2 linked regions of the Arabidopsis thaliana genome follow. The protein of the gene in region 1 purifies or fractionates together with the protein of each later gene. This does not show direct contact. Each region holds a gene or a part of one and is shown on either strand. Other genes may lie near its edges.

Region 1 (2,946 bases):
ACAATTGGTGGCATGTTGCTCTCTGTTACTTAGAAGGAGGGTCCCCAATGAGTAAAGTAGAGGAGATTTATGATCATCACATCTGGAAAGAATTGGAGAAAGACGATGCTGTTCCTCCTGAAGTAATCCTCTTTTTGATTAACAAATTTATGCTTTTGCGTCATCTATTCAATATTCAACTGTCTGCAACTCTTTAGGTTTATCTCAATGCATTGGGCTTGTTGATACGTTTAGATGTAAGAGATGCTCTTGATGGTTTTGAAGACCGTCTCAAAAACCTTGCAGTTCGTTTAACTAATCAGGTAAGCCATACACTAGTTTTATATCATCCCAAAACGGTTGCAGTTATACGAGTTATCTTGTTGAATAAGTTTTTATTTTTCGGCCACTTGCTTTAACATTTCAGGCAAACTGGTATTTGGAGTGGCACCTTGATATATTGATAGTTTGGGCACTAGCAAAGGTTGGAGAGACTTCAAGAGCTCATGAATTACTTGAGGGCCTTAAGTTCCGGTTAGTGTGACTTTCTTTTATTCTGCAGTTTCTAAATGATACCGAATTTGTCATGAACTTGTGTTGTTCTTGCAGATTATCAAAGAAGAACAAGAAGAAGCAACAAGTGATGCAGAAAGGGATTCAGGTTTGTTTATTCCCCCTCCCTCTTTGATCGTCTTTCTTTATCATTGTAACTAGTACTCAATATCAGTCTTGTTTTCATATAAGCTTGGGGAAGCTGTGTATGAATACGCAAGGGGTAACTACGAAAAGGCTCTAGAACTACTGGGTTCAGAGTTCAACGCCATTGGTTACAAGGTAAACCGTTCTTCAGCGACTTGCTCAAAATACTCTGAATCAAACACATTTCTGGTGGATCTTTTAAACTGTTTTATGGTTAATAATAGATCGTTGGGGCATCAGACGAACAAATAGATGTTTTCAACGAAATGTGGTGCCAGCTGCTGCTAAAGACAGGCCAATCCTCCACGGGTAAGGCTTGTTGTAGAGTCTTACTAATTTGGATACTCGTCTTGCTTAGTATGATGATAAACAATCGTGGTTCTGATGTATGCAGCCAAAGAAGTAATCAGAGAGAGGATTAAGGCCAGAGATGGTATTCCTTTCATGTGGCGTTTGCTGGTATACATTCAAAAGCAGAACATCACTTTGTTTTAGTGTACTATATGTGTTTTTGCTATGAGAAAATGATGTCGTTGTGGTTGCAGGAGAAAAGTTACTCCATGGAAGGCAATGCAGAGGCTGAGAGTAGTGCACGAGAGAGAGCTAAGAAACTTGAATCTTGTTATTTCTAACTTTGCTTCAAAAATCCAATAATGACATGTGTGTATACATGTTTTTAAATAAGTATAGAATAAAATATTTTGCTACTCGTGTCCTACTTTTTTGTTTACCAAAAGGTAAATGAATAAGGGGGTGTATTGAAAGTGGAAGTTTAAGAGATTTGTGTAGAATTTATAAATCCTATGTTATTCAAACATGAATTTTAAAAAGTTTCATGAAATTCAGTGTTATTGAACTAATGATTTAAAAATCCACCTTAAAATCCACTGTTATTAAAAACAATTTGTGGATTTGAATTTTAATGATTTTGGAGGATTTGAGAGGATTTCTTTAGTTAAAAATACAGAAATCCAAATTCCATGGCTACCGCCAGTGGTGTAACAAACTGTGGAATGCTGTCAGATTTGCGATGATGAAGCTTGGCGATGGGTATACTCCTCCTGTGCAAACTCTACGCCCTAAAACCATGACCTTCAGCTGCCAATGGATTCTTTCTTTACTAACAATATCGAAGACAGTGGATTCCTTGAATGCGTTTGCATTATCGGATGCTGCCAACAGTGTATGCTTGGTGGCAATACCAGTTCTGTGATGTATTTATCGAGGCAATTAAGCCTTATTTTTCTGCTGACACTCAAAGAAGGATTCATGCACAAGATGCTCTCTGGGTGTGTCTCGAGACTGGTTTGAGATTGCTGCATCCATTTATGCCTTATATTACAGAAGAGCTGTGGCAGCGGTTGCCTTCATCGCAAGACTCTGAACGAAAGGCGTCTATCATGATATGTGACTACCCATCTTCCATAGAGATGTGGACAAACGAGAAGGTGGAAACTGAAATGGACATGGTTCTAGCGACCGTGAAAACTCTTAGGGCACTGAGAGCTGCAGAGTCGCTAAAGAGACAGAGAAATGAAAAGTTCCATGCGTTTGCTCTGTCTGGAAATGCATTAACACTGGGGATTGTGAAACCACATGAGCTGGAGATCAGAACTCTTGCAAATCTCTCATCCTTTGAGGTTATGTTGAGGGGAGAAGACAAAGCATTTGTAGTGTGTTGGGAGGAAATTGAAATTTGGATTAGTTACAATGTGCTTTATTTTATTTTATGTAAACTATGTCCATCGTTTTGAATATGACGGATTCGATCATGGAAAAGCAAACTTAGGAATTTCCATGTTTCAAAAAGTCAATGCATCCATACAAAAAGTTATACTACATGAATTAAGAAGTGTTGTGTATGCTTTAGCACTAACTATGTTGTAACTAAAAGCTAATTATGCTTTAGCCGACAAAAGAAAAGAAGAAGCTTACTAATTCTCTCCATTGTCACGAAAAGAATCTGTCTTTCAAACTTATTTTAACATTGTGGCATTAGAAATCGAAATTCTTGACGTTTTCGGTTTGTATAAGAGCCATGTCGCTATAATGTAATCTTTCTCTCCGGGTTCACGTAAAGAATTTCTCTGCACCTTTTCCATCTTTCAAAACTTTAATTTCGAAGAGGAAATAATCGAAGATGGTGAAGACCGGCGATGTTTCCGATCAGCGTTCGAGGCTCGAGTGGGATGTATTCCTCAGTTTCCAAAGAGACGCGCGCCACAAATTTACAGAGCGTCTCTATGAAGTGCTCGTCAAGGAACAGGT
Region 2 (5,928 bases), on another chromosome or scaffold:
ATTTTTTTCTTTCTGATGAATCATTATTTTATTATTTTTTACGTATTAATGTATGAAAATATTTATATTTTTTTTGTTTCAGGCTGGCAGAATTAACATGGGCTTGGATAAGACGTTTCTTACACATAATTTTCCGACATCCACTAGAATATCATCAATATATAATATGAAGAATTATTAAAATTGTGAAAATTCAATAAAACAGATCATTTATTTTTAGATCAAAATCATATTTAGGGTCTCACAATCAGTCAATCATCCCATGAGGGTGAGACTCTTTATCAGATTTAATTATTGTATCGCTTAGTAAACTATTGTATATAAAAGAATAACCACCGTGAATTCTTCTTATTTAAGGAACCAAAGAACTCATTGTTTTTTTATATAAATGATCAGTAGGGGATGGTAAATCGCCTGTTTGTTTCTTACCAAATATTTTCAGTAGTTGAATCGAAAATGAGTAGAGACAATAGTCAATGGAAACGTGAGATGTGAATACACAAGTGACCTTAGTTACTTGAAGCCACCACATGTCGGCAGAGAGGTACAGAAACCAACACGTACCATCTTTCTTCCTCTCATCTCATGCAAATGCGATCACACAGATCTGCAGATCACTTTTTTTATTTTTGGAGACAACCTTACCTGTTGTGTTTTATTTTCTCTTTTCGGTCTTATATTCTTCCACCTCATTTCCTACTTATTTTTTCTTTCTTTTTTCTGATAAGATCGCAGATTAGGTTATCAGGGATAAGGATTTTTTTGAAAGAAACGTAATTCTGATAATTGGCTTAACATTTACGTATATCTCCTCTAATTAGTTAAATACGGAAAACTTCATCAACATCAAAATCTCTAAGTTCTTGTCTCCACAATCATGAGTCATGCAAAACACCATTATCAAACAAACCAAGGAAAACAGCAAAAAAGAATGCAAAACACTGTGATTCCTTTTGTCTGGGCATCGAACCAGGAGTGAGTGTGTGTACCTTTCATTTCTTTTCAACGACTCAGAGTAGTTTCTTCAATTCTTCCACGAAACGATCTCTAGTACATGTTTGATCTTCTTTCTCTTCACTTCCCTTCTCGAGCTTCTTCAATGTCACAAAACTTCCACTGAGTTCTTTTTCGCCTACCATCACCATCCAAGGAATCCCTGATTCCTTTGCACGATTGAAATGCTTTTCTTTCCTCTTGCTCACTAGATACTCTGCGTTGATCTTAGCACCCCATAACTGACTTACCAGTTCTGCTGCTTCCGCTAGTTTATTATCCACCATTATACTAACCAACACCTGTGTCTCCGTTGGTCGAATCACCTATATTCATAGCAAATAACACAAACTTCAAAAACCATTCTTTTAAAACAAGGTCGACAAACAGCATAAGGGTTTGGCAAGTTACTTGTTTCTGTTTCTCGTTAAGTTCTTCCATTATGTTAAACACTCTCTCGATTCCCAGGCTCATCCCAACCGCAGGGACTTGCTTTGTTCCAAACATTCCTATAAGGTTATCATATCGCCCACCAGCACCAATTGATCCCACCTGCAGAAAGAAGAATTCAAAGGCCATACACTACAATTTCTTTAATTGAATTGCAGGAAGCCAAAATGCGGGATTTTACCTCTGCTCCTATACAAACAGCTTCAAAGATGACGCCGGTGTAGTAATCAAGACCTCTAGCTAGACTTAGATCAAAGACTATTCTCTCACTGCACTTTGATCTTTTAAGAGCTTCAAACATGATACTCAACTCATCAAGAGCTTCTCTTGATGACTGGTTATCTAAGAACTCACTCCCTTCTTGTCTCAGTTTAGACAACAGCTCCAAAGGAGCTCCCTTCTCCTTAACGAAGTTGCCAATTCTGTCTGCAATCTCTGAAGACAAGCCCTTCTCCTCCACCATTTCTTTCTTCACTTGCTCAAACGATTGCTTGTCTAGCTTGTCGATACTCGAACAGATGGTTCTGAATTTCTCAGGTGGTACTCCACATATCTCCAGCATTCCATCAAGCAACTTGCGGTGATTCAGTTTCACCTATTTAAACAAACCAGAATTAAGAACATAGCCAAAGAAAAAACCAACCAGGAAAGATTAAGACTTTCAACTTAAGTTATTACCTCATAATCTCCTATTTCTAACTCATCGAGGAGTTCAGTTAATATCTTGACAATTTCAAAATCGGGTCCCATTGGTTCGAACAAACCAGCGATATCAAAATCACACTGATAAAACTCTCTGTATCTCCCTTTAGATGGATTATCCCTTCTGTACACCTTTGCTATTTGGTATCTTTTGAATGATGTGATTCCATTCATAGCCACATACCGTGCAAATGGAACAGTTAGATCATATCGTAAAGAGCAAAGCTCTCCACCCTGCAATTAATAGATCCATATGAGCTCAAATTTTGACAAACAAATCATCACATAAACTGATGATATTACAGCAGCCAAGAAGAGTTCTACCTGATCAGCAATATCATAAACCAATTTCGAGTCTTCTCCGTACTTTCCCATAAGGGTCTCTCTCAATTCAAAAACAGGAGTATCAAGTGCAGTTGCACCATGCCTCTTGAAAACGTTTTGTATGATTGAAAAGGCTTTTTCTCGGACTGCCATTTGTTCTTTAGCGAAATCTCGAGTTCCCTGTCATAGAATGAAACAAATCAGAAATTAACTCTGAGGCCTAAACCTTCTCCATATACGAGATTGTAATTTACCTTTGGAAGCTTGGGAAGTCTCCTATTTTCATTACTTTCTACAATCTCTTTCACTTTATCCAACAAGCTATCAAAACTGCGACCCTCTGGGTTGAAAAGATTTAAGATTTGCTCCCCACATTGCATCAATGAATGCATCTGGTCACCATCACTTGCTGCGTCATTACTCACCAATCTATCTTTGATAAACTGGATAACTAGGCTTGTCCCCTTTCCCACAACTGCTTTTTTCTCATTCTTCTTCTTTTTCTTATCGGTCTTCGACTCTTCTTTGTCCGCATCTCCGCTCTTCTGAACAAACAATTCTCCACCAGCAAGAGCAAAAAAGGCAGCAACTGCCTCCAAACCAACAATTCTCCATACAATTCCCAGACACTCATTCAGTTTGTGAGCAAACCTGCAGTAATCCTCTTCCAAATGAGCAGTATAAGCTAACTTATAGCTATTCTTTAGATTCTCATTCTCAACACAGATCTTTTCAGATAAACATTTCTTCAGATTCTCATCCACAATCTTCTCAAAACAAAGCTTAGCACGAAGGAACGAACACACTCCCAAGTTTTTAATCGCCGTTAACAAAGGTAACAATGTTGTTCCTAAAGCCTCACCAATCCCAGTGTTTCCAGACCCAGTTTTGCCTCCTTTAACACCGGAATTCAATTCTCTCCTAGCATCCGCGTGCACGCTTTTCACCACATACCTGAATTTCCCATGAATCCAAGGGATTTTCGAAATCTCTTCTATTTCTAATTTCCCTGTACCTTTATACCCGTTAAGCAAAACCTTGAGATCACCAGCAACACCAATCACATCTTTATCACCATTCCCATCTCCTGAATCCAACAAGCTAAACGAAGCTATATCAGCCTTTGTAACCTCACAACTCAACGCAGCAACAGAATCCACAATCTGTGAAAGAGTCGTCGATTTGTGATCTATAATAGAACAAATCCCAATCAACGAAGCACACGACTTCTCCAACACAATGTTTTCCCCTTCTGTCACATCAATCTCACCCAATTCCAAACTCTCAGCCTTCAAATTCAGAATCTCAACAATCTTAAGCGGAAGAACAGAACGAGCGGTGGATGAAGAAGGAGGACCAGAAGTCGACAAAATAAGCTTGTTTAAGAGAACAGCCAGAGAAGCTCGAGTTTCTTCGTTCGTTAACCCTTGAGGGATACCAAAGGAGCTCCTTTTGATCGATGGAACGTTTCTAGTGGAGAATCTCTCGATCGCAGAAGAGTCAATTCGAACATTAGCGACGCCGGAAGCAACATTGTAAACGGAGGAAGAAGATAAAGAAGAACCTTTCCCTCCGAGAGTGATGGACGATCTCTCCGCCGCCATTATCACACACAGAGCTGAAGCCGGAGTGATTAGGGTTTTCTGTCTTTCGTTGTGTTTGACCTAAAACGAAGCACTGTGAAATTGCAAGAAGGCGGATTTAGAAAATTGGTAAACTGCAAAATGACCCTCGAAGTATCCAGTTATTGGAAATTGATCTACGAAAAATGCTTGTATGGATACTTCAAGGATCTTTTTGCAATTTTCACTTTACGAAATGTTTTTTTTTATCAACTCGAAACGGATTCAATAGTTCAATAATCATATTCAAAGAAGCCAACTTTTACTCTGATAGCCATTACAGAAACACAAAGCACAAAAGTAGTAGCTTACAGATTTTAACAAATCAACAACATCACTTGTGTCCTTTTAAACGGATAATTCAATCTGAGAAACAAGGATACCATCAGTATCTGCATAAAGCCATTCGCCATCGCATATCCGAGTGCCTGCAATGTTCAAAGAGACTCTTTGTTCACCAAGTCCTTTCTTACTAGCCTTTATTGGATGAGAAGCTAAAGCTCTCACTCCAATGTCGCAACCATTGATCTCATCAACGTCTCTGATGCATCCATTCACTATGATCCCTGCCCATCCGTTGTTCTGCGCTTGTACGACCGGGTTTCCTCCTAGTATCGCACAGCGTAAACTCCCTCCACCATCCACCACAAGAACTCTACCATTGCCTGTTTTAACATTTAAAACATTATTGAGCTTTTGATGTGAATGCTACAGAGAACAGATTGGTTTATTGACTCGGGTTTTTGAAAGACCTATCTCGTCTCTAGTATTCAAGAACTTGATTAGCAAAGTGACTGAAGAAGTATATAAACACTGAGCAGTAGTTCTAAATCATAGAGAGATGATCTTAAGACTTCTTCAAACATAGTTTCAAGCAAAGAACAATTGAAACTATTTGACAAGTAAGTAACACAAGAATTGAATCTAAAATGTAACAATACCAATAAACCATGTCAAAGATACTCTGAAAGTTCATAGCTCTACGAGTAAAGTTTCAGTCTTTTGAATTTTATAAGCAAGAATCATTAATACCTTTCTCTTCGAGGAAGTGACGGATTAAGCCATTGTCTTCAAAGACTTTAACAGTAACTACTGGACCTGAAAATATTTGACGACGACCATAAATCTGAAAAACGGGTTGCAGAGCTCGGAGCTGGCCACTTCGAATCATCTCTTGATTCGCGTCACACACTTCCGCAGTGGTCACAAACGCCATTTTTTCTTCTCACCTGAATCAAGAATTATGATCAAAACAAGTAATCTGGGGATTTGATTATATGAGATTTACGAGAAATTACTCAAACACAGAAAGCAAAAGACAAATCGAGATTAGTCTAGATAAAGTGATCATATATATTCTCAGTCAATCAATCAAAACCCAGAAGGAAAGATACACACTTTTCATTCAATTCACAAGAAAACTATTTCAAAATCCATCTGGGTTTTGATCGAATCTTATTTCATTTACCTGGAATAGAAGAAACTAGGACGAAGAAGAGAACTCTGTGTGCGTAAATCTCTGAGAAATGAAGTGATGATAATTTAAAGGAGAACAAAGTCATCAACATACTTGTTTCGGTCGTTCAATAATATTAAATTAGTGACTTTTAACTTTACTTAAATCAGATGGAAGGTGGGTTGTCGTTAAGCTTCGAAAAAAGGAATCTTTGCGTTGCCTTTTCTCTGGTTTCGACTCTGTTTCCTTGTTATCCTTTTCCTCGACGCTTTTTGTACATCTCACAAACTTTGTGACATTCATTCATTAATTAAGATAAAAACGAAAACTTTATTATTGCCTGAGGTGCTTGGAAGTTTTGTAAGTGTCTCACATATCCCA

Evidence for each region.
Region 2: the proteins of AT1G27160 (region 1) and AT3G02760 fractionate together in Arabidopsis thaliana (co-fractionation; one large-scale study listed by BioGRID). This does not show direct contact.

What each region holds. Positions count from the first base shown.
Region 1 is NC_003070.9:9,430,759-9,433,704, forward strand, and holds AT1G27160 (valyl-tRNA synthetase / valine-tRNA ligase-like protein), read left to right. Parts: upstream 1-1,659; 5' UTR 1,660-1,829; coding exon 1,830-2,432; downstream 2,433-2,946. Other genes in the region: AT1G27150 (Tetratricopeptide repeat (TPR)-like superfamily protein), read left to right, coding at 1-122, 198-302, 407-513, 589-640, 724-813, 903-987, 1,073-1,137, 1,224-1,310; AT1G27170 (transmembrane receptors / ATP binding protein), read left to right, coding at 2,819-2,946.
Region 2 is NC_003074.8:596,578-602,505, forward strand, and holds AT3G02760 (Class II aaRS and biotin synthetases superfamily protein), read right to left. Parts: upstream 4,207-5,928; 5' UTR 4,074-4,206; coding exon 2,724-4,073; intron 2,650-2,723; coding exon 2,470-2,649; intron 2,380-2,469; coding exon 2,122-2,379; intron 2,039-2,121; coding exon 1,625-2,038; intron 1,546-1,624; coding exon 1,405-1,545; intron 1,320-1,404; coding exon 1,011-1,319; 3' UTR 528-1,010; downstream 1-527. Other genes in the region: AT3G02770 (Ribonuclease E inhibitor RraA/Dimethylmenaquinone methyltransferase), read right to left, coding at 4,440-4,756, 5,124-5,307.